2 linked regions of the Rhinolophus ferrumequinum genome follow. The protein of the gene in region 2 purifies or fractionates together with the protein of the main gene of each other region. This does not show direct contact. Links are inferred from orthologs where the notes say so. Each region holds a gene or a part of one and is shown on either strand. Other genes may lie near its edges.

Evidence for each region. Proteins that work in one complex are often made in the same cells at the same time.
Region 1: the proteins of NOP56 (region 2) and RPL5 purify together in Homo sapiens (affinity purification with mass spectrometry; 3 studies listed by BioGRID and IntAct, with this or other methods). This does not show direct contact. The link is inferred for Rhinolophus ferrumequinum from reciprocal best matches to the Homo sapiens genes NOP56 and RPL5.

What each region holds. Positions count from the first base shown.
Region 1 is NC_046292.1:70,127,100-70,137,596, reverse strand, and holds the start of RPL5 (60S ribosomal protein L5), read right to left. Parts: upstream 4,216-10,497; 5' UTR 4,099-4,215; coding exon 4,096-4,098; intron 2,908-4,095; coding exon 2,838-2,907; intron 2,753-2,837; coding exon 2,637-2,752; intron 1,476-2,636; coding exon 1,341-1,475; intron 61-1,340; coding exon 1-60.
Region 2 is NC_046306.1:24,886,711-24,896,839, reverse strand, and holds the start of NOP56 (nucleolar protein 56), read right to left. Parts: upstream 4,781-10,129; 5' UTR 4,673-4,780; coding exon 4,670-4,672; intron 4,516-4,669; coding exon 4,426-4,515; intron 4,076-4,425; coding exon 3,961-4,075; intron 3,419-3,960; exon of another isoform or gene 3,351-3,418; intron 3,192-3,350; coding exon 3,030-3,191; intron 2,857-3,029; coding exon 2,658-2,856; intron 2,549-2,657; exon of another isoform or gene 2,417-2,548; intron 2,284-2,416; coding exon 2,096-2,283; intron 2,014-2,095; coding exon 1,862-2,013; intron 1,671-1,861; coding exon 1,570-1,670; intron 1,508-1,569; exon of another isoform or gene 1,422-1,507; intron 1,204-1,421; coding exon 1,055-1,203; intron 986-1,054; exon of another isoform or gene 915-985; intron 825-914; coding exon 703-824; intron 657-702; exon of another isoform or gene 587-656; intron 517-586; coding exon 382-516; intron 1-381. UniProt on the Homo sapiens protein: Involved in the early to middle stages of 60S ribosomal subunit biogenesis. Required for the biogenesis of box C/D snoRNAs such U3, U8 and U14 snoRNAs. Part of the small subunit (SSU) processome, first precursor of the small eukaryotic ribosomal subunit.

The sequences.
Region 1 (10,497 bases), on a different chromosome or scaffold from region 2:
ATCTCCAGTCACCTCCACTTGACCTTCATAGATCTTGTCCATGCCAAACCTATTGAGAAGCTATTAACAAAGAAGCCAGACTAAATACTTGTCTGAATATATGCAAACAACAGTATCACAAGTCACAACTTTAATGACCTGACAAAACACTTTCCTTCCAATTCACTTATACCTTTATCCCAATCTATTTTAAAATACCAATTTTTAAATGCTACAAAAAGAAATTTCATTCCATTTCACCAACTGTAACAACTTTAATAGCTTTTTAATCTGCTACACGTCCATACTTGATTTATGCAACAATTGGGGATCTCCACATATTTTCAGTCATATTTGGCTAGAATTCAACAACTAAATATTAAATATTATCACATGCAGTTCTGAGTAGGATCCTGAGCTGAAGAGATCTTTTGTGGCTCTATTCTCCAACTATACTATTAACACGGGCCATTCTTCTGCTAGTACAATATCACCTAGCTATGGTTTCACAAGCAGTGCCTTTGTACCAAGCTGCTCTCATACATAATGACCTTGTTCCCCACCCCCACTCAAACTGGGTCCCCAACAATGATGCATGCTTAAAAATCCCACTGCAAAACCAGGTCAGTAATTGAGAAAAGAGTAAGGCAAAAGCACATTTTCATCTTTTCTACATGACAGGAAATGCTGCCACCCAGAGGGCAGAGATGATTAAAACAAAAAACCCCCACCAATGCCTGCCCTTCCCCCAAAATTTAAGATACTGCTTCTCAAAATGGAATTGGCCTATAAATCACTTGGACACCCTATTAAAATATAGAGATTCTGAGTATCTGGAGTAGCACCTGCATTTTAATGTTTGCTTGTAGATCAAGAGATCTACACTTTTCAATAGAAGGTAGCCACTTCAGTAGAAGGTGTCCAACAAGGTAGCCACTAACTAGCCACAAGTGGCTATTCAAATTTAAAAATTCGGTTCACCAGTAGCACTAGACATATTTCAAGTGCTCACAGCCACCTATGTCTACTGGCTACCATATTAGCATAGATTACAGATATCCACCAGTTGCAGAAACTTCTATTGGCCTAGATATACCCAACAAACCAGCAGATAGCAGAAAAACTGCTTCCCCAATTAGAAAATGCACTGCCATCTCAATCACAACCTTGTATGTATAAAACCACAACCTTCTATTTATAAAATCATCTTTCCTAGTGATTCCTAAAGAGTGCCACAGGCACTCGCTTGATTCTACAGCGGAGGGTAACTTATCCAGCTGTCAACATCTATCTTGCAGGTAACACCAAACTATGAGCTAAGCTAATTCCAAACACATCAATTACCATAATCCTGTACATACCCTGCGGGCCAGCAGCAGGCCAGTACAATATGCTGCAGCATAATTTGTCAGGCCAACCTTCACACCGTACTTGGGGAGTTCATGAGCATAAGCTGCACAAACTATCATATCTCCTTCTATACGGGCATAAGCAATCTATAATAAGAGAAACATCAGGTTAGTAATCTGCTTTCACTGTTTATTTGTCCTAAGTGCCTTCTTGTACAAAGGATTTGGAAAAAAAATAAAGACATAGATCTGTATCAATTAAAATTTGTCTTTGTTAAACCCACTCACCTCCAACTAGTTTATGGCTTGGTAAACTATAGCAGGTAACTTTGTGTCTGTAAATGTTTGATGACAGAGTAAGGCTAAAATTACCACATAGACATTGAATATTAAAATGCCTTTGGAATAAATTATACTGTAGCTCCTTACTTCTAAACACTGAAGACTCTTAGCTGGAGTAGCTGCTGAACTAAAGAGGTACTTTGAAAAGTCAAACGAATCCCCAATTATTTCAAACATCTTTTAAATTAAGCATATCTAAGTCCAATGTTTCCGACACCCAGTGTTCAGTTATCTGAACTCTGGGTATGGAAGAAGGCAATGCCTTCACAACCAACAAATGGTACGCCTGCCTCTTGCAAAGGCCCAACAAATCTCAAGTATAAAAATTTTCCCTACTTGTAAAAAAAAGCCTAGCAAATTGTGTTCTAGGAGAAAACTGCCACTTTTTGAAGGTTTTTATGTGGGAGACCCTCATACATAATTAAAACCCATTTCAACAATAAGCAGGAATAAGAACAATTCTGAGTCTAATTTAATCTTCACAAAACTACCAACCTCTTCAAAGAGCAGTGGGTATGTGGCATGTAAGACCATACTGCAAGTCAGGACTTAGTCAATGGCAAATTCTATTATTCTACTAGAATTGGAATGGGTAGGAACCTTCTACTTGCTCTCAAACGTATCCTTCCACCCCACCCACACCCACAAAATAGCACAGTACCATAAATTTCTCTAATCCTCTTCCCCCCCAATTAGAAAATGAATGGGATTAAACTGGGTCAAGACTGCTAAATATAGCTGATCTTCAGGTTTTTTTTAAAGTACCAACTTCCCAGGCTCCAATTTAAGACCCACAAAAAGGAAAAGAGCTACTCACTTACTCAATGGATGTTTCTGAGTGCCAGCCACTACAGTTGACGGACCTTCTAATCCATACATGTTTTGTTTCCCAAGTACTTCTCCAGCAAGGTGAGTTAAAGGGAGGTGGGGTTTACCATCACTGCTCGAGGCTAGAATGCAACTTACCTGGCAAATGATATCTCTGTTGGTTACCCGTACAATCATCCTATATTTGGGTGTGTTGTACTTATTTTTATCCTGGATTACCAAGCGTTTCCGGGCATAGTAATCAGTTTTACCCTCTGAAAGAAGAGAAAATAACTTAAAAGTCTACTCCACTACAAAGCAGATTCTTTTAATACTGTGAATATGAAAACCTGACCATACCACGGCGTCTTCTAAATTTCACTTGGTATCTCTTGAAGTAGGCCTTATTCTTGACGACTTTAACAAATCCCTTTAAGAAAAAAGAATGTTTATTGAAACTTGGATAAATGTTTTTGCTGATGATACTTCTGACATTTGAGCTGTAACAAATAACATTTAAACTTCAAAAGTGAATCTATAGACAGCTGTCACTTTTGTAGAATCCAGTGTTTCTCAAACCATCTGGAGTCAAGGGATCACTTTTTCTCTTACTTTCCTGTCAATGCTGGTAACAGAGTAAAAACGAATCACTGGGGAAAAATGGAAATGAACTAACATACGAAACACAGGCCAATGTCTTATATTTTCCAAAATTGTCATTGTTTTAAAATTTTTGAATGCTTCCTCTCAACTCCTGTAGCTCACAGACCAACACCAATCCTTGTGCCAAACTTTTGCAAAGCCCTGCTCCAGACAGCACTAAATCTTGCCAAACGTCCATCTGTTCTGAATACTGTCCCATTTCGAAAAACTAACCTCCTATTTCCCTAACTTTCCACGGACGGACGTTTTTAAAAAACCTAAATTACTTGCCACAAACCTGAACTGGCCAAAATCATTTTCAGCAATTACTCCTGATTAAAACAGCACTGTCCCCCACCAACGCAGCAACACCCCACCCCAAGAATCATTTAAAACCGATGCCAGCGACAGTCTATAAAGAGGCAGGAGGCGCATACCAAAAACTAAATGAGCTTCGTTTCCGGGCCCAGAGACGCCACGGCCTCCAAGCTCTACTGACGGTTTTGGCTTAAAAGAGACTTCTTCAGACCAACAACACAAGCCTTTCTTAAACCCCCGCCGACCCCAACGCTCTTCCGGAAGACCCACGGAGCAGCCAGGGATGGAGCTGGGTCCGAGAAGCTGCAGCCCGTCTCCACTCAGGCATCCCCTAGCTAGCATGAGACCAATGCAATCTCGCCTGCCCGGGCCCCCTCGAACGGGCCGGCACTATCCCCGCAGCCTGTCTACTAAACTCAGCCTCCTCCTCAACCCGCCGCCCCAACTCCTGCTTTTCTTCAATCGCCTTCCTCTCAAGCTTGCGCGCCGGGCGGCAGCCATTAAGACCACGCTAGGAGCCGCAGTCCGACCAGGGCAGAGCCGGCAATCTAATGCCATCCGCCTCCTGCGCCATGCGAGACCGACCCTAGGCTGGCATTAGAACAAAGAGAGGGAACCCCCGTCCATCTGTAGCCTCGAGATCGGGATACCCACTCACCATCCTGGTGAACAGAGCACCGCGTCCGCGGCTCACCAGAGACCTGCAGGCCCAGCTCGGCTCCGGGGGAGAAAAGACCGTAGCCTATGCGCAGGCGCGGTATGTAGCGCCGGCGATCACGCGAGCGACGTGTGAGAGAGATCCGCCGGCCGGCTGGCGTCAGGCATGCCGCCCCCTGCTGATAGGAGGACCCATGCCGCATTTCTCCTTGCCCGGAACAAATCCTTAATGATCCGACAGGTGTGGACCTTGAGCAATAGCAGGGGGCATTACATATAGGAGGCTTTCACTTTCCTATGTTAGGAAGTTTTTTCATAACGTATATTACTTTTGTAAGCAGGAAAAAGCTTAAAAGTTAAATAGAATGAATTCGTTCTGGAGCTCTTTTGCCCCCTCCAGGACTCCACCTCCTGGACTACGCATCCTGGTCCAGAACATTGGGTCCAACCCAGGAAGCCTTGCCTTCGTGCTCCAAGCCTGGGTTAGAAGCCCCTTTTCTGCCTTCCCATAGTACCTTCGTACCTGCTTCGGCCCACTCCAGATTGTAAACTCCCTGAAGGTGGGCCTGCTGTCAAGTTCGCCTTTGAATCTCCAGTACCTACATAGCACGGTGCTGACATTCAGTCAGTGCTTGGTATTTGTTAAATGGTAAGAGAACTATTGCTCTCTCCTTCCTGCTTCGTTACCGCCATCTTCTTCCCCGATCCCTGACCACCTCATTCCGTTTGTCTCCTTCCATCGCTCTGATCTAGTCAGCTTAACTGTTTTAAACATGTTTAAGTCCTTTTAAAAATTCTTTTAAAACTAATTGTAAGTGGGGAATAAGTCATTTTCTTATTCTCCACATGGAGACGGAGGAGAACCAATCAATCAAACAAACAAACACCTCAAGAGAAAGTATTCCCTCACCTAACAGTATTTCAAGGGTGGTCTTTGGGCTATTGCATGGGAATTATTTGGGTACTGGTTAAAATGAACATATATGAATAGCGTCCTCTACTGAATCAGACTCGCTGTTCTGCGGACTGGGAATCTGCATTTTAAATTTGGCCTCAATTTTAATTCAAGAGGTCTCGGGAAAGTAGAAAACAAATCCTATTTTGCCCAATAATGGAATTAACTGATTCTACTAGGAAAAGCAAATTACGTAACAGCACAGCAGTTTAAAACATTGGCATCCTCAGAATGAACTTGAACTCTGTACCCCCACCCCAATGATAAGCCTGCTCTTGGAAAATGGGTGTGCATGAGTTTAACAGGAAAGAATCAGTGTGTCAGAACCGGGAGGAGGATCTGCCAAACAAGATGACAAGGCTAACTGGTTCCAAAAAAAAAAACTGCTGCTAGAATAAATCAGAATTATGCTGCCAATTTATTCTGGTTTCAATTTGTAAATCCTTATATAGCCAGAAAAATGTAGCTTGAATCCACTCTGGCCAATGTCCGCAGAGCCCGCAAAAAGAAATGTTAAAACAATTCTCACAAGCAAGTGTGGTTCAATCTTTGTTGAGGGGCTTTTGGAAATGTAAAGGCATACAATTTGTTTTTACAGAAAATACTTAAGTTAAAGACCTTCATTTTGGTGGTTCGAGTTATTAGCCAATGAAAGGTGCCACATGTCTTGGTCAGGCACTGCTTGTATTGGAGGTGGGAGCATCAGGAAGGAAAGTCTGTATGGAAATAGGCCCACCCCTAAACTTTGCATGTTTTAGGGCAAGAGTACATACTCGCAGGAAGACCCACATACCATCCATCTGAATATTTAGAAGTTATGAATCAAGTAACGTATTGTTGAATTAAATGTTTTATTCTCCTTAACCTGCTTCTTCTTACCTTACAAATATGTATAACAACAAAATTAAAAATATATGTATCTATTCCCCTTGGTTGCAGCTGGAGGGTTGTGGCTAGTATGGCTGACACAGCCAGTGTAGTTGGTGACACTAGGAGCCAGGGAGAATTTGTCCAGCACCTTCCACCAACTAATCTTGCTCAAGTGGTAAAAGTTAAAAATCACCAGTACTGGGACAAGTCAACTTTGTGTTCCTCATGAGATGATATACTGAGAAGAACACAGAAGCACTTTGTGCCAAATTTATCTAATCTAATCTAATTACATAGTCTAGCTAATCTGATACATGATGAAACTGCAAACAAACCCAAATTGAGGGACATTCTACAAAGTAATTGGTCTGTATTTATGACAAAATCATGATAGATAAAGAAACGCTAAAAAAATACTCCAGATTGAAAGAGACCAAAGTGACATGACAACTGTACGCAATGTATGATCTTAGATTGCATCCTGGACAAGAAAGGAAAAAGAGAAAAAGAAGGCTTTTTATTTCTTTTGTGTAAATGACGTTCTCAGAACAATCAGTGAAATCTAAATGGAGTCTGTAGATTAGATGGTAATAATAGATCAATGTTAATTTTATTTTGATAGATACACTATGGTTATGTATGAGACTGCTCTGTAGGAAATACCCTCTGAACTATTTTGGAGTAATGGGTATTATTTCTGCAACTTACTCTCAACAAGTGACTCAGATAAAAGTTACATATGTGTGTATAAAAAGAAAGAAAACAAGGCAAATGTGTTAAAAAGTTAACAATGAGTAATCTGGGAGAAGGGTAGATGGAAATTCTTTGTACTGTTCTAAAACCAATTTGTGATTTTGAAATTATTTCAAAGTGAAAATAAAACATTGAGTCCTATTGGAATGTGAAATATATCTTTTATTATTTGAAATGAAAGTCAACTTAGTGTTATCAGATATGTCAAACATATGTTATAAATAGAAAATAATTCAGTAATTTTTAGTTCTGGTAGTGATGACAATACCAATATATGAAAAGATTTCTCTGATGTTACCAATATGATTTTGAAGTACCTACTTACTACTCTGATCAGCAGGTTTTGTATTGAAACCACCAACTTTCTTAATTATAATCAAAAAGCATCTTGTTATTTCAAAATATCTTTTTCTTGGGCGGCCCTGTGGCTCAGGTGATTGGTGCACTGTGCTCCTAATGCCTAGGTCGCCGGTTCAATTCCTAGATGGGCCAGTGAGCTGCACCCTCTACAGCTAAGATTGTGCACAACGGCTCAACCTGGAGCTGGGCTGTGGTGGGCTGCTGTGACCTGCCAACCATCAGTCCACTGACTGCCTAGCAAGGCTCATAATACCAACATGGGCCAGGGAGCTGCGTCCTTCACAACCAGACTGAGAACAACGGTTTGAACTGGAGTTGGGGGTGGGGGGAAAGAAAACCTAAAAAAAAAAATTATATATATATATACACATATACACACACACATAATATATCTTTTTCTTTGCAATTGGTTTTTGCGTTACATTAGTTTCTGGTTTTACATCTACATGAACGGTAGCAAATAGAGTAAACAACTTTATGATTGGGTCCCCTTTGTTGATATTAATCCATTAGAAACATTTAAAACTTTTTAAACCTGTACTTTTATCTAGGAAAAAATAATTAGCCCTCAGTGAAGAATAATCTTCGTTTCTTAAAGAAAAATGTGTAAAGCTATAGTTTTTAATGGGACCAAGAGTCAGCAGAATATCAGGACAACCATAACTAAGATTAAGCATGTCTGGGTGTTCTGTTGCTAGGCTACTGATGAAAAACACACAATTCGTAAATTATATTTATTCCATAAAAGTTTCTCTTTGTATCTTCATTTCAGCAAAATTTCTATGATGTCGTCACCAAGAGATCACATCATTTGTGTTCTACAGATAGTAATGCCAAATTAGACAACCTTTTTTGGGTCATTGTGGTTCTTAAATAATTTGTATTGTCAATTAGGAGAAATTTTGCTGGGATGAAGCAAGAGAAACTGGATTTTAAATAAAATTCATATCTAAATAAAATTCAGTCTAAGCAATACTTAGATTTGAAAATGAACCATAATTTTTACATGTCAAATTCAAACTGTATGGTGTCATATATTATAAATTATTGTTTTCACAGAAACTATTGCTAGATATTTTGATATTGTCATATAAATCACTGTCATTTTTATTGCGATTTTTCTCTGTCTCTTACAGTAGTGTAGTATCCACACACACAGGTTTTGTTATTCTTCCAACATTTAAATGCTGATGTATGGTAAAGGAAAACAAATAACAACAAATAACAATATGTTGCTCCATTTCTTCAAATGTCTTTTCAATCAGACTATACACTGATCTATCAGGGTCAGGAAACCATCTCTATAGACATTAGTATTAGGTTTATTTATTTCTTTATTTAAATTTATTGGGGGTAACATTGGTTGTTACAATTATACAAGTTTCAGCTACATAGTTTTTTTTTTTTTTTTAAGATTTTATTGGGGAAGGGGAGCAAGACCTTATTGGGGAACAGTGTGTACTTCCAGGATTTTTCCAAGTCAAGCTGTTGTCCTTTCAATTGTAGTTCTGGAGGGCGCAACTACGCCCTCCAGGTCCAGTTGCTGTTAATTGCAGGGGGCGCAGCCCACCATCCCTTGTGGGAGTCGAACTGACAACCTTGTGGTTGAGAGGACATGCTCCAACCAACTGAGCCATCTGGGAGCTTAGTGGCAGCTCAGCGGCAACTCAGCTCAAGGTGCTGTGTTCAATCTTAGTTGCAGGGGGCACTGCCCACCATCCCTTGCAGGAGTCAAGGAGTCGAACTGGCAACTTTGTGGTTGAGAGCCCACTGGCCCATGTGGGAATCGAACCAGCAGATTTGAAGGGCAGAAAAATAGACACAGACCAATGGAACATAATTGACAGCCCAGAAATAAACCCACACATATATGGACAACTAATTTTCGACAAAGGAGCCAAAAACATACAATGGAGAAAGGAAAGCCTCTTCAATAAATGGTGTTGGGGAAACTGGAAAGCCACATGCAAAAGAATGAATCTAGACCGCTATCTGACACCATACACAAAAATTAACTTGAAATGGATTAAAGATTTGAACATAAGACCTTAAATAATAAAATACATAGAAGAAAACAAGGCACTAAACTTATGGACCTTGGTCTGAGAGAGGTTTTCATGTACTTGACCCCAAAGGCAAGTGAAATAAAAGCAAAAATAAATGAATGGGATTACATCAAACTAAAAAGCTTCTGCACAGCAGAGAAACCATGAACAAAATAAAAAGGCAACCAACTGCATAGGAGAAGATGTTTGCAAATGATAACTTGATATGGGGCCAATATCCAAAAATATGTAAAGAAATCATACAATTCAACAACAACAACAAAAACCCCAAACAATTTAATTAAAAATTAGCAGAAGACCTGAACAGACACTTTTCCCAAGAAGACATACAGATGGCCAATAGATGTATGAAAAGATGATCAACTTCACTAGCTATAAGGAAAATGCAAATCAAAACTACAATGAGATACCACCTCATGTCTGTTAGAATGGCTATTACCAATAAGACAAGAAATAACAAGTGTTGGAGAGTGTGGAGTAACAAATGTGGAGAAAAGAGAACTCTCGTACACTGCTGATGGGAATGTAAATTGGTACAGCCATTATGGAAAACAGTATAGAGGTGCTTCCAAAAATTAAGAATAAAGCTACCATATGACCCAGCAATCCCTCTTCTGAGTATCTACATGAAAAATTTGAAAACATTTATTTGTAAAGATATATGTACCCCTATGTCCACTGCAACATTATTTACATTAGCTAAGACATGGAAACAACCTAAGTGTCCTTTGACAAACAACTGGATAAAGAAAATGTGGGATATATATACAATGGAATACTACTCAGCCATAAAAAATGATGGAATGTTGCCATTTGCAGCAACATGGATGGATCTTCAGAGTATTATGCTACATAAGTGAAATAAGTCAGACGAAAAGGACAAGCACCATGTGATTTCATTCATATGTGGTTTATAAAACAGAAAGCAACAAACAAACAAACAAATAAAACAAAAAACGTAGACACAGACAACAGTATGGTGGTTACCAGAGGGGAGTGGGAATGGGGGGGAAGATGAAGAGGGTAAAGGGGTCAAACATATGGTGACAGAAGGGGACTAGACTTTGGGTAGTAAGCACACAATACAATATATAGATGATGTCTTATAAAACTATATACCTGAGGGTGGGCCTGGTGGCTCAGGCTGTTGGAGCTCCGTGCTCCTAATGCCGTAGGCTGCTGCCCTTCACTTTGAATCTATATTTGTTTTAGTAGCTTAGTACCTCCTAAAAGTAATATATAGTTGGGTCTTATTTTTTAATCCTACTCTGTGCCTTTTAGGTGGTGCGTTCAGTCCATTTACATTTACATTTAGGGTAATTATTTATGTATGAGGACTTCCTACAGCCATTTTATCTTTTGTTTTCTGGTTGCTCTGTATCTCCATTGTTTCCTTTCC
Region 2 (10,129 bases):
GCAAATGGGGCATTAAAATCCCAGGGAGGATCCTAACCTACAGCACATTGGATACCTCCCTGCTCCCATCCTCACTACAAAATGCTACCACCTCTACCTCCGAACACACCGCGGAGAACAAACAGCAGGAATTCACACTACCCCCGTTGAGGACTCCTGGGAGGCAGCCGAGGACAACACACTTGCCCAGGGAACCAGTGCTACAACCAGCTCTCTGGGCTCTCAGCACCTATCTCCTTCCTATAGAATCAAGAGGCAGTTTTAGCTATTTCAGCCTTGACTCTGGACTAAAGACCATGGCTCTGAGGCCACAGATCCTTTGTTCTGCTGTTGAAAACCATACAACCCGGCTCTTCACATAGGGCCAATCTGCCTACTGACCTCACACTCCTCCGGCGTACTACTATTTTCTGAAGATGCGAGGGCAATTGCAGCCAACCGTTTCTTTTCCTTCTTCAAGCGTTTTTTCTCCTGTTTCTCCAGCTTCCTAGTAATCTCGGCAGCCGCTTCCTCAGCCTGGCCAAAGAAAAGTGCTGAAAAGGCTCTGAAGAGCTCTGGCCCTCCAGACCTCCCACCTGGCTTTTTTGGATCAGGCTCATTAAATCAGTTTTTTGCCTCCACCTACAAGGTCAGGCTAAGATAGTTCATCACCTCCAACAGTCAGCTATGGTTCTCCCCCAACCTAGCAAAGCCTGAACTGACCTGAACCATTGCCTCCTTCATGACCTCCAGATTCTTTCGTGGAATATCTCCAGTCTCATAGAAGGACAGCCGTTCCTCAACTTGTTCTCGAAGCTTCTCCCCAAAGACACTTGTGGGCACCTCTGGATGTTATGTGTGTGGGTAAACAAAACCTGTCAGCTCCTAAAGAGACAAACTACTCCCCACCCCGAGTACTTCCTTTACCCTCAGCTTCACTCAGACCCAAAATATCAACACTCACTAGGTGAACTGCTGTTGACGAAAAATGTTACCATCATTGTAGAAGCTACGGTATTCAGCCTCCCCTCCCTCCAAGCCCCTTTCTCACAAATGCCAACTCCTCCACCCATACCAGAAAAGCAATCAATTCGTGAGGCAATACTGCATTTGTTTGCCAGGTATCGGGAGATGCGGCCTTTGTTCTTGGCAGCTGCTCGGCCAATGAAGGTGGAATGGAAAATGAGTCCGTATTTTGGAGTGTTACCCCTTGTCTTCAGGGCCCTGGGAGAAGAATATTCAGTGGACAGTTTAAGATCAGAAATTTCAACCCTATTCGCCAAGGCAGCGCCTCCCCTCCCCTTTGCTCTCAGTCTCCAGAGTGAGCCTCAGGCTGGGCTGGGTCTCTGTCCCATCTCTTGCCAACCCACAGCTCCCAGAGGCAAAGGGAAGGCATCCAATGTCGCTGACCTGGAAACTTGGTCCCTTTGCTGGGCCCTGGGAATCACTCAGACACCAGGACTGGCCATCACCCCCATAGCAGAGGCCTGCATAGGTCAGGAAGCCCTGGTCAGCCATCATTGTGATCCCCAAACAAGCAGTGGGCACCAGAAGTGGCACCTGAGTGTGGGCAGGTGCCCTCACTGGTACCTGAACAGGGCCTTTTCAGCCCCAAGGATCTGCACTGTGGATGCTGGATACTTGGCCAGGTTGGTGAGGCTGCCAGCATGAGCAATGAGACGTGCGCCTACCTAGAGAAGGATTCAAGGAATCAGTCACAGAAGCTGGAATGGCCAACCTGCCAACTGCACAATCCTGCTTCACCTCCCCCTGACCCCCCTTCAAGGGCAACCGTGGAAGACATGGCAGGTCAGGAAATACAGCAGTACAGATATACATGGTAACATTGCTCAATCCCGTTTTTTCATTCTCCACGACGCACCGCTTCCCCAATTAGGGCCGACAGGCTGGGGGCTACTTGGCTCATCTTGGATCGCAGGTAAGTGTGCAGGCTCTGGCGGTACTCTGACAAAGACACCACACGACTGGAGAAGCTCTCGATGTTTATCAAGTCGATGGCTGATATGTCCATGCCTGAAGGACACCAAATGTGAATGCAGGAGCCAGATATTCAGAGCCCTGTATCTTACTTTGGCCGCCAGGCTTTGGTACTGACCCATGGAGGACCGCGAGGCATCCAGAATAGCTTTAGCTTTGGCCCCATCCATCGTCAGCTCTTCCAGCTTCTCCAACTTTTCTTCATTCAACTCTTTTCGGTTCCCAATGAACTGAGCAACGCGGCAGTAGGTAGCGTTGTCACTGATGATCTTCACCAGCTCGGGAAAGTGATATCCATACCACTCCCTGCAAAGAGCCCAATCTCTCCCTCACCCAGCTGCCATGTCTCAAATAAATAAAGCCACAGCCTCAGTTGTTTTCACAACTACTCTTTGCCGGGAGGAAGTGGGAACAAGTCAGATCCCAAACCTCCTCAACTCCATGTCTCCCCATTCACAATACAGACCAGGTAAAGGGCCTGGGCTGAGGTGTATATGAGGTGGGTTTATTCTGCCTCCTCTTTCTGTACAGTCAGTGTAAAAACACAGCCTGTGGTAAGCACCGGGAGGCCCAGCCCCACCCCACAGTTCTACCCATAGGAGCCAGTCCTCATCTCACGATTCAAAACTAGCTAAACCACAGGCCACAGCCCCGTTCTCAAGGGTTGCCCCGTACTTTACCTGACACGCATGGAGAAGGTGTTGATGTCCTTATCTAGCTGGTCCAGGAGGCTAATGGACTGGATAATCATATTGTCCACCCGGTTCACATTAAACTTAACTTTGGCACGAGAATAGCTGTGTCCCAGCCCCAGCTGGGCTTTACAAGCAGACAGATCGGTCAGCCCCTTCACCAGGTTGTGGAAGTGCAGACGAACTCCTGGAGGAGGGCAAGACTATGAGCAACGAAGGGCTCTGAGCTAGCTCCTGCACCCATGCGCACCAGCCAAGCAGGAGGACTTACCAGAAGCAACTTTAAGCTCCCTAATATGTTTCCGGAACCCCCTCAAAGATGTCAAGAATGGCATGAATGTTAACAGATAATTGTCTCACCTCGAAGGATTTCGGCTATCACGCCTCCAGTCTGGCAGTTGTACCCTAACTCTTCTTGTATAGCAGCACCAATCTTGGGGTCCCCAACCCCCAAGAGTACTTTCTTCTTTTTGGATGGCAAGTGAGTCTCCAAGAGCAGGCGGAGGTCCTCATGAACAACACCTCAGGGCAAAAAACAGAGCTCCCACTAACAGATTGAAGGATGCTTAAACCATAAAAGGGATCCCGTGTCCTCAACTGCTGATTAAGTGACAGACTGTTCTTACATTGGTCCAGCAGAGCATGCTGGGAAGGCATGCCTAGACCCCTCCCCTTCAGGCTTTGCTCAGAGACATGGAGACATCAGTGATTGCACTCAGGGGATTGACAGACTCAAGTCATCACTGCAAAGCGTGAATGGGTCACGGGAAGAACAGGACTCAGGTCCAATAGTACAAGGTGAAACGCATAACTGAAAGCTCAAAGCACACCCCTGAGCACCATCAACTACTAAAGTATTTAGCTCCAGATTTGCCTTCTGGGACCAAACCTTTTTCTTGGCTTTCATGTATGAAAAATGCTCTTTCCAATCAATTAAACCAAATAGTAGAGAACCACTTGTAAAGGTTTAGCACTGAACCAGTACCACCCCCCCCCCCCCCCCCCCCCCCCCGCCATTGCATTTGAGAATCATTTATCACTAGAGTTCACAGGGTAAGACTGCATGCTGGATTGTGTGCTTTAAATATAACATTCAGACCAGGAGCTCTGAAAGACTATTTTAAATCACATCCTGTACACATCAAATACCATCCAAAACATAATCAGATTTAGAATAAATTAGCCGAATAAAGGCAAATACTATCATCAACTCCCTAGGAGAAGAACTATACAGTAGGAGGAACTATATCTCTGCTTAAATCTCTGCAATACTTGGAGGTGGCCGACTCACCTTCAGACACAGCGTTGGCATTTTCCAAGGCAATCTGGGACGAGGCAAAGGGACTAAAGGCCACGAGACGAACGAGGTTGTGGAACTTGCCTAAGTTGAGCACGCACTCCTCCACCTGGGGGTAGAAAAAGGATGGGAGGTTCCTTCCCGCGCTGTCGCCTCTAGGGCGCAGTAAAGCAACGGTTCTCAGCCCTGGACGTATATAAGAACCAACTGAACACTTGAAGAATGAACCGATCGATTATTTGGCCCTAAATCCCGGTTCTTCTTCTTGGATACTGAGTGGAGGGCCGGACGCTTACTTCTAAATGGTCCTAACGCGATTCTAGTCTCGAATGCAGGTAAGGAACCCCTGCTCTGGAGCTTTCAGGCTCAGCGCACCCACAACGCGAGCGGCCGGCCACGTGGGAGCGCGCAGTGCATGCTGGGGACCGTGTGGCCCGCAAGCCCACCGCTTCCACCCACCTGCGGCAGCAGCAGGCTGATCTCCTCCACCTCCTTCAGCGCCAGCAGCGCGTAGCCAACCGCGTGCTCGAACAGCACGTGCAGCAGCACCTGGAACGGGAGTCAGGGCGCCAGCGTCAGCGTCAGCGCGGTCCCCGCGTTCATCTGGCCCCGCTCCCAGGGCAGGCTCCGGCCCTGGCTCTGGTCCGAACCCAGGCCCAAACCGCGGCCTTCTCCTCTCCCGCACCCCACAACCACTCCTCACCATGGCGCCCGCTCCTGGCCCGGCTCGCAATGCGGCGAGTGGGCTCTGGCGCGCAGAACCAGGCTCCGGAGGCCACGCCCCCGCGCCGCCGGCCAATCAGAGGCTGGGGACGATACCTTTCCGGCTGTTCGGAGGGGTCCGCGGGATGGTATCGCCTTAGCTTGGATGGCAGTGGAGGTGGCGCGAGCGCGGGCAGGGTGGCCTTTTCCGGCCTCAGCAGCGGCGCGAACTGACGCAGTTGCCGCGGACGCGCGGGCCGGGGCCGGGCCCTGCAGGCCGCAAGACTGGACGGTTTGGAAAAACGCTTTTCTGGATGATAGTGCAGGCCCTAATTTTTTTCATGATATAAATTCCGGGCCGCAAGGCTAAGGTGACATCGGTCTGGAGGCCCCGCGCTAGTCGCGGCCTCCGTTCCCAGATAAACTTGCCGAGCCCGCTTTCCGCGGCGCCGGTGACCTCAGGCTCCAGACCCCCCCGGCTCCCCGCATCCCCCAAAACCCCTTTCTTCCCGCCACTTGGGGACAACCCTCCCAGAGCCCCATGGCCGCGCGCCTTTTCCTCCTCTTGGGGGACGGAAGCGGGACCTGGGGTGCGCTGACGCAGTCACTCCTCGTGGCTGATTTTGTGTTTTTAAGTTGTATGTTATGTATTATTTTTTAAAAATGATGGTGGCAGGCGATAAAATAGAAAAGAAAGACGATTCCACGTCTTCTAGGTCAGTTTCTCCTTCCTCTTGAATAGAACCCAGCTCCTTTGCCGGGACCATGTGTTGCTCATCCTGTTGAAGGGCCCTTAAATCTGAACACCCGGTTCTCTCCGAGTGAACTGGAGCTGCTGCCTTGTGCACGAGGGTGGCTTTTGGAAACGCAGGCGACTTTCGAAATTACCTTTGCTTTAATAATTAATATTGAAACCTGGTTATCCTAAAGTAGTATGTATGCTGGTAAATTTAAAACAATCTTTAAGGGGATTTTTATAACTTAAATTCCTATAACTAAAGTACACTTACAAATGTAATATATTCTTTCTTTTTAAGCAAGTCAGTTACTTGACAAAAATCCGAGTACTGAGCTCACTCTTAAAACCCAACATATTAAACTTAAAAATATGTTGGTAAATCTTAAAATCTCATAATCTCAATATTGCTTGCAAACATGGTTAAATTCTGTTATATATATATCCACTTACAATTATGAGTCTGAATCAGTTCATTTCACATTTAAAAATGGAATTGCAAAAATAATCTGTAATGTTAAATTCTCTTAAACATTATAAATACCAAATTAAATAGTTGGCTCCTCAAATATATGGTGATGGAAGGAGAACTGACTCTGGGTGGTGAACACACAATGGGATTTATAGATACTGTCATACAGAATTGTACACCTGAAATCTACATAACTTTACTAACAATTACCCCAATAAACTTGAATTAAAAAAAAAAATAGGTGGTTCCAAAATGTGATGGAGAATATTAATGCTATGCCTTTGATTTACTTCATTATTTCTATACTTAATCCTAAATATTCCCGGAGTTACCAGTGCGTATCTACTAAGGTAGGAGTTTTCAAAGAAGTCAGAGTCCTTTAGGGGATTGCAGAATTAATTTAGACATTCTTGGCCAGCATTAAAAAAAAACACAGGATGAATGAGAATAGGAAATAATAGTACGTCACATAGAGTAAGGGTATTGATTTGTAAAAGTTTTGTCTCGGGTAAACATACACATACACATATGTATATAAATATACACATAGTATGTGCATGTAGAAACATGTACACACACATATATACATGTATATACATATATATATGTATATATACATAATGAAACACATTTCTGTGGATTAAATACAAAAAGCCGGAGGAGTCACTGAGCTGAAAGCTAACCAAGTCATATTTTAGATAAATGAGCATCTGAGTCTAAGCATAAGAACCAGGAGGGCTGATGTCCAAGGGGCGAAGATGGATGTCTCAGCTCAAGCAGAGATAGAACCAATCTGCCCTCCCTTCTTCACCTTTTGTTCTGTTCTGGCACTCAAAGTATTGGATGATGCCCACTCACATTTGGGCAGGCCAGCTGTTTTACTCAGTTCACCAATTTAAATACCTATTGCATGCCAGTTATCTTTCTAGGTGTAGGGATACAGTAGTAAACCAACAAGTCACTGCCATCATGGAGAGTACATTCTGTGGGGAGATGGAAAATCAAGTAAATATGTCATGTATCAGGTATTGATAAGTGTTAAGGAATCTTGCATTGTTTCACAGAGGTCCTCAGTGAAGAGGTGACATTTGAGCAGAGATCTTAAGCAAGGGAGTAAGCAATGCGGAGATCTAGGGAAATAATAAAGACAATGGTAATACTAACTCTTGACCTCTGACTTCAGAGATTTTGTAATCCAGGGAGACGGAACATAACCAAGTGCTGAAATGTAGTAGTATGGGAGGCTGACTGGAAGACACTTTGGGGGGAGCCTGGGCTCCTGAGGAAGACTTCAGGGCCAGAAGGGGTTTTACCCTGTTTCCCCAAAAATAAGACCTAGCCGGACAATCAGCTCTAATGTATCTTTTGGAGCAAAAATTAATACAAGACTGAGTTTTATATTTATATTATATTAGTGTTATATTAAAGACCCAGTCTTATTTTACTATAAGACTTATTTTACTATAAGACTGGGTCTTAAATTAATTTTTGCTCTAAAAGATGTATTATAGCTGATTGTCTGGCTAGGTCTTATTTTCAGGGAAACAACGGTAGGTATTTATGGAAGAGTGTGTAGGTCATTAAGATTGATGGAGGAAGGAGAGTGGAAGCAAAAACCAGAAATAACCTGCTAGAGGTGTAAGGTTCATCCTGGTCAGTAGTTGGACAAAGAACATGAAGGATCTAACATGTAAGACGCAGAACATAGGAAGCCTTGAATGAAGGCCAGGATGAGTGACTTGGGTCTGATGAGAGTCTTATTTTCCATCAAGCATTGGTTGATTAGAGATTAGTTTGGAGGTGATGTACAAGACAGATTTCCCAAAAAGTTCCAGCTGAGAAAATGACCTGCACGTGCAGCAGAGCTGAGGGGGAGCTGTGGGTTTCCCAGGCCTGTTCCAGACTCAAACTTTAAAGCCATGTGGCACCTGGGGCCTTTTCTTTCTCGGTAGATAGGACTATTCACCTATTGGGAAGGATCATACAGACACGGTAGCATCTATTCCTCTTTTATTTAGCCCCGTCTATGGCTCACTGTGTTATTTTGGTGTAAATTAACTCAGAATTTTTACTCTGAGCAATGGGCAACGCTAATGGAGACCTATAGAAACGGAATGTGCTACAGTCATGTGCCACATAAGGACAAACCTTATATATGATATGATGTGGTATACCAGATAGCGTAGGCTATACCATCTAGTTTGTGTAAGTGCACTCTCTGATGTTTGCACAATGATCAAATTGCCTAAAATTGCTTAATGACGCATTTCTCAGAACATATCCCCATCTTTAAACTGAGTATGATTGTGTTTAAACGCCAGTACTGGGCAGAGTTTCAGGAAAGGAAATTGCATGAAATAACCACAAGATGGCGGCACTTCATCCTCATTTTGCAAATGAGAAAACCGATCAAATTTGAAAGGCTCCTAGCAATTCCTCAGCCCTTTTCTCAAATGTGGAAAGAAACCCTGCAACAGTCTTTGGTAATGAGTTATACATATAGGCAACATTTCTTTCCATAGACACACAAGAATGAAAAGCATCCGAGGAATACCATCTAGGCCAGCGTTCCTTGTCTTTTTGGTTGCAGCTAACCACAGTCATGTTTTGGTTATGACTCTGAAGCCCAGAGTTGATTAGGATTATAGTGTAAAAGTTTTGTTTAGTTGATGCTGTTTGTGTTCATAACCGGAGGCTGAGGATGTTTGATCTTATCCATGCCTGTGATAATGTCTGTTATTTACCGATCACTTAGCATAATGCTTGGTTGGCACTTTGGGTGGGGCTCTATAGAGCATATCTGAAGTGACTTGACTAAATTAAGAATCACCAGTGTAGTGAATGCTGTTGGTACCCTGCCCAGGTCCCCTTACTGGCTGGTGCATCACTCTCAAGTTTCTGTGAGTGTACAAGTCATGGGGAGATCAGGGGTCCCCCTTGATCTTCACCGAAAGTGTGTTCCTGCTTATGTGAGTCTGTATGAAATGGAGCTCTTTATTAACACTGAGCATGTAGATTATCAGAAATGAAAGGATCCACCTGCAAAAATAGCTTCCGAAAGATAAAATTCAGTGTCTGTTTTATTTCCCCACAGTAAGGAGTATACAAACAAACTAGGGTAATATTAGTAAGACACCAGTTGTAATTCTCCGGATAAATTGTTAAATAGACTCCCTAGTTTAAATCATTCTTGGGTGACCTGAGGAAATAAAGAGAAAGGGTGAGGGGAGGAAGGAAAGTAAGAAGGAAGGAAAGAAGGAAGGAATGAAGGAAGGAATGAAGGTAGGAAGGAAGGAAAGCAGGAAGGAAGGAATGAAGGAAGGAATGAAGGTAGGAAGGAAGGAAAGAAGGAAGAAAGGAAGGTAGGAAGGAAGGAAGGGAGGAAAGATGATGGTCTTCATGCCTGATGGCCCCTGGACAGGCTGAATAGTGAAGTTTTAAGATGGAATGACCTGGAATGTCAAACCCAAGAACGCAGAGATGATAAACTTTAGACTGCTCTCTAATAACCTGTCCTAAAGCCGTACCACCCTTCCTCTCTTACCTCTACCCATCTCCCTAGCTCACTGGAAGTTTCCTGTTGATTGAGGCTCCTGGGAGCCACCATTAACTAATCCTCCGATGGACGTCTCTCAAAAAAAGCTTTAGAGTTGTCTTGATAGAGATCTTGTAACTATTTGAATTAGGAAATCTCCTGTTAAAATCTATCCAAAAATTGTTTGATAACCACTCCTTTCCAGGGATAAAAGCTAATCTCTTTCCCTTTGAGTGTGGGCTAAACTTCGTGACTCAGTTCTAATGACTAAAAAGTGGTAGAATTGATGGTGTAACGTCTGAGACTAGGTTTTAAAAGGCATTGTGGCTTCCTTCCTCCTTGCTCTCTCTCTAGGATCACTTGCTCTGGGGGAAACCAGCTATGTTCTGAAGACACCCCAGAAGCCCTATGGAGAGGTTCACATGGGAGTTAATCAGTCTCCTATTAATAGCCAGCAAGGAACTGAAGCCTCCTGCCAACAGCCATATGTGTGAGCCACCTTGCAAACAGATCTTCCTGCCCTAGTCAAGTATCCCGATGACGATAGCCCTGCCTGAGACCTGACTACAGTGTTCAGAACCACAACTGCCCAGTGAAGCCAGTCGCAAGTTCGCGATCCACAGAAATGGTGTGAGATAATAAATGTTTATTGTTTTCAGTTGTTAAATTTGGGGGACAGTTTGTTATACAGCAATAGATAGCAAATATATTCCCTCAC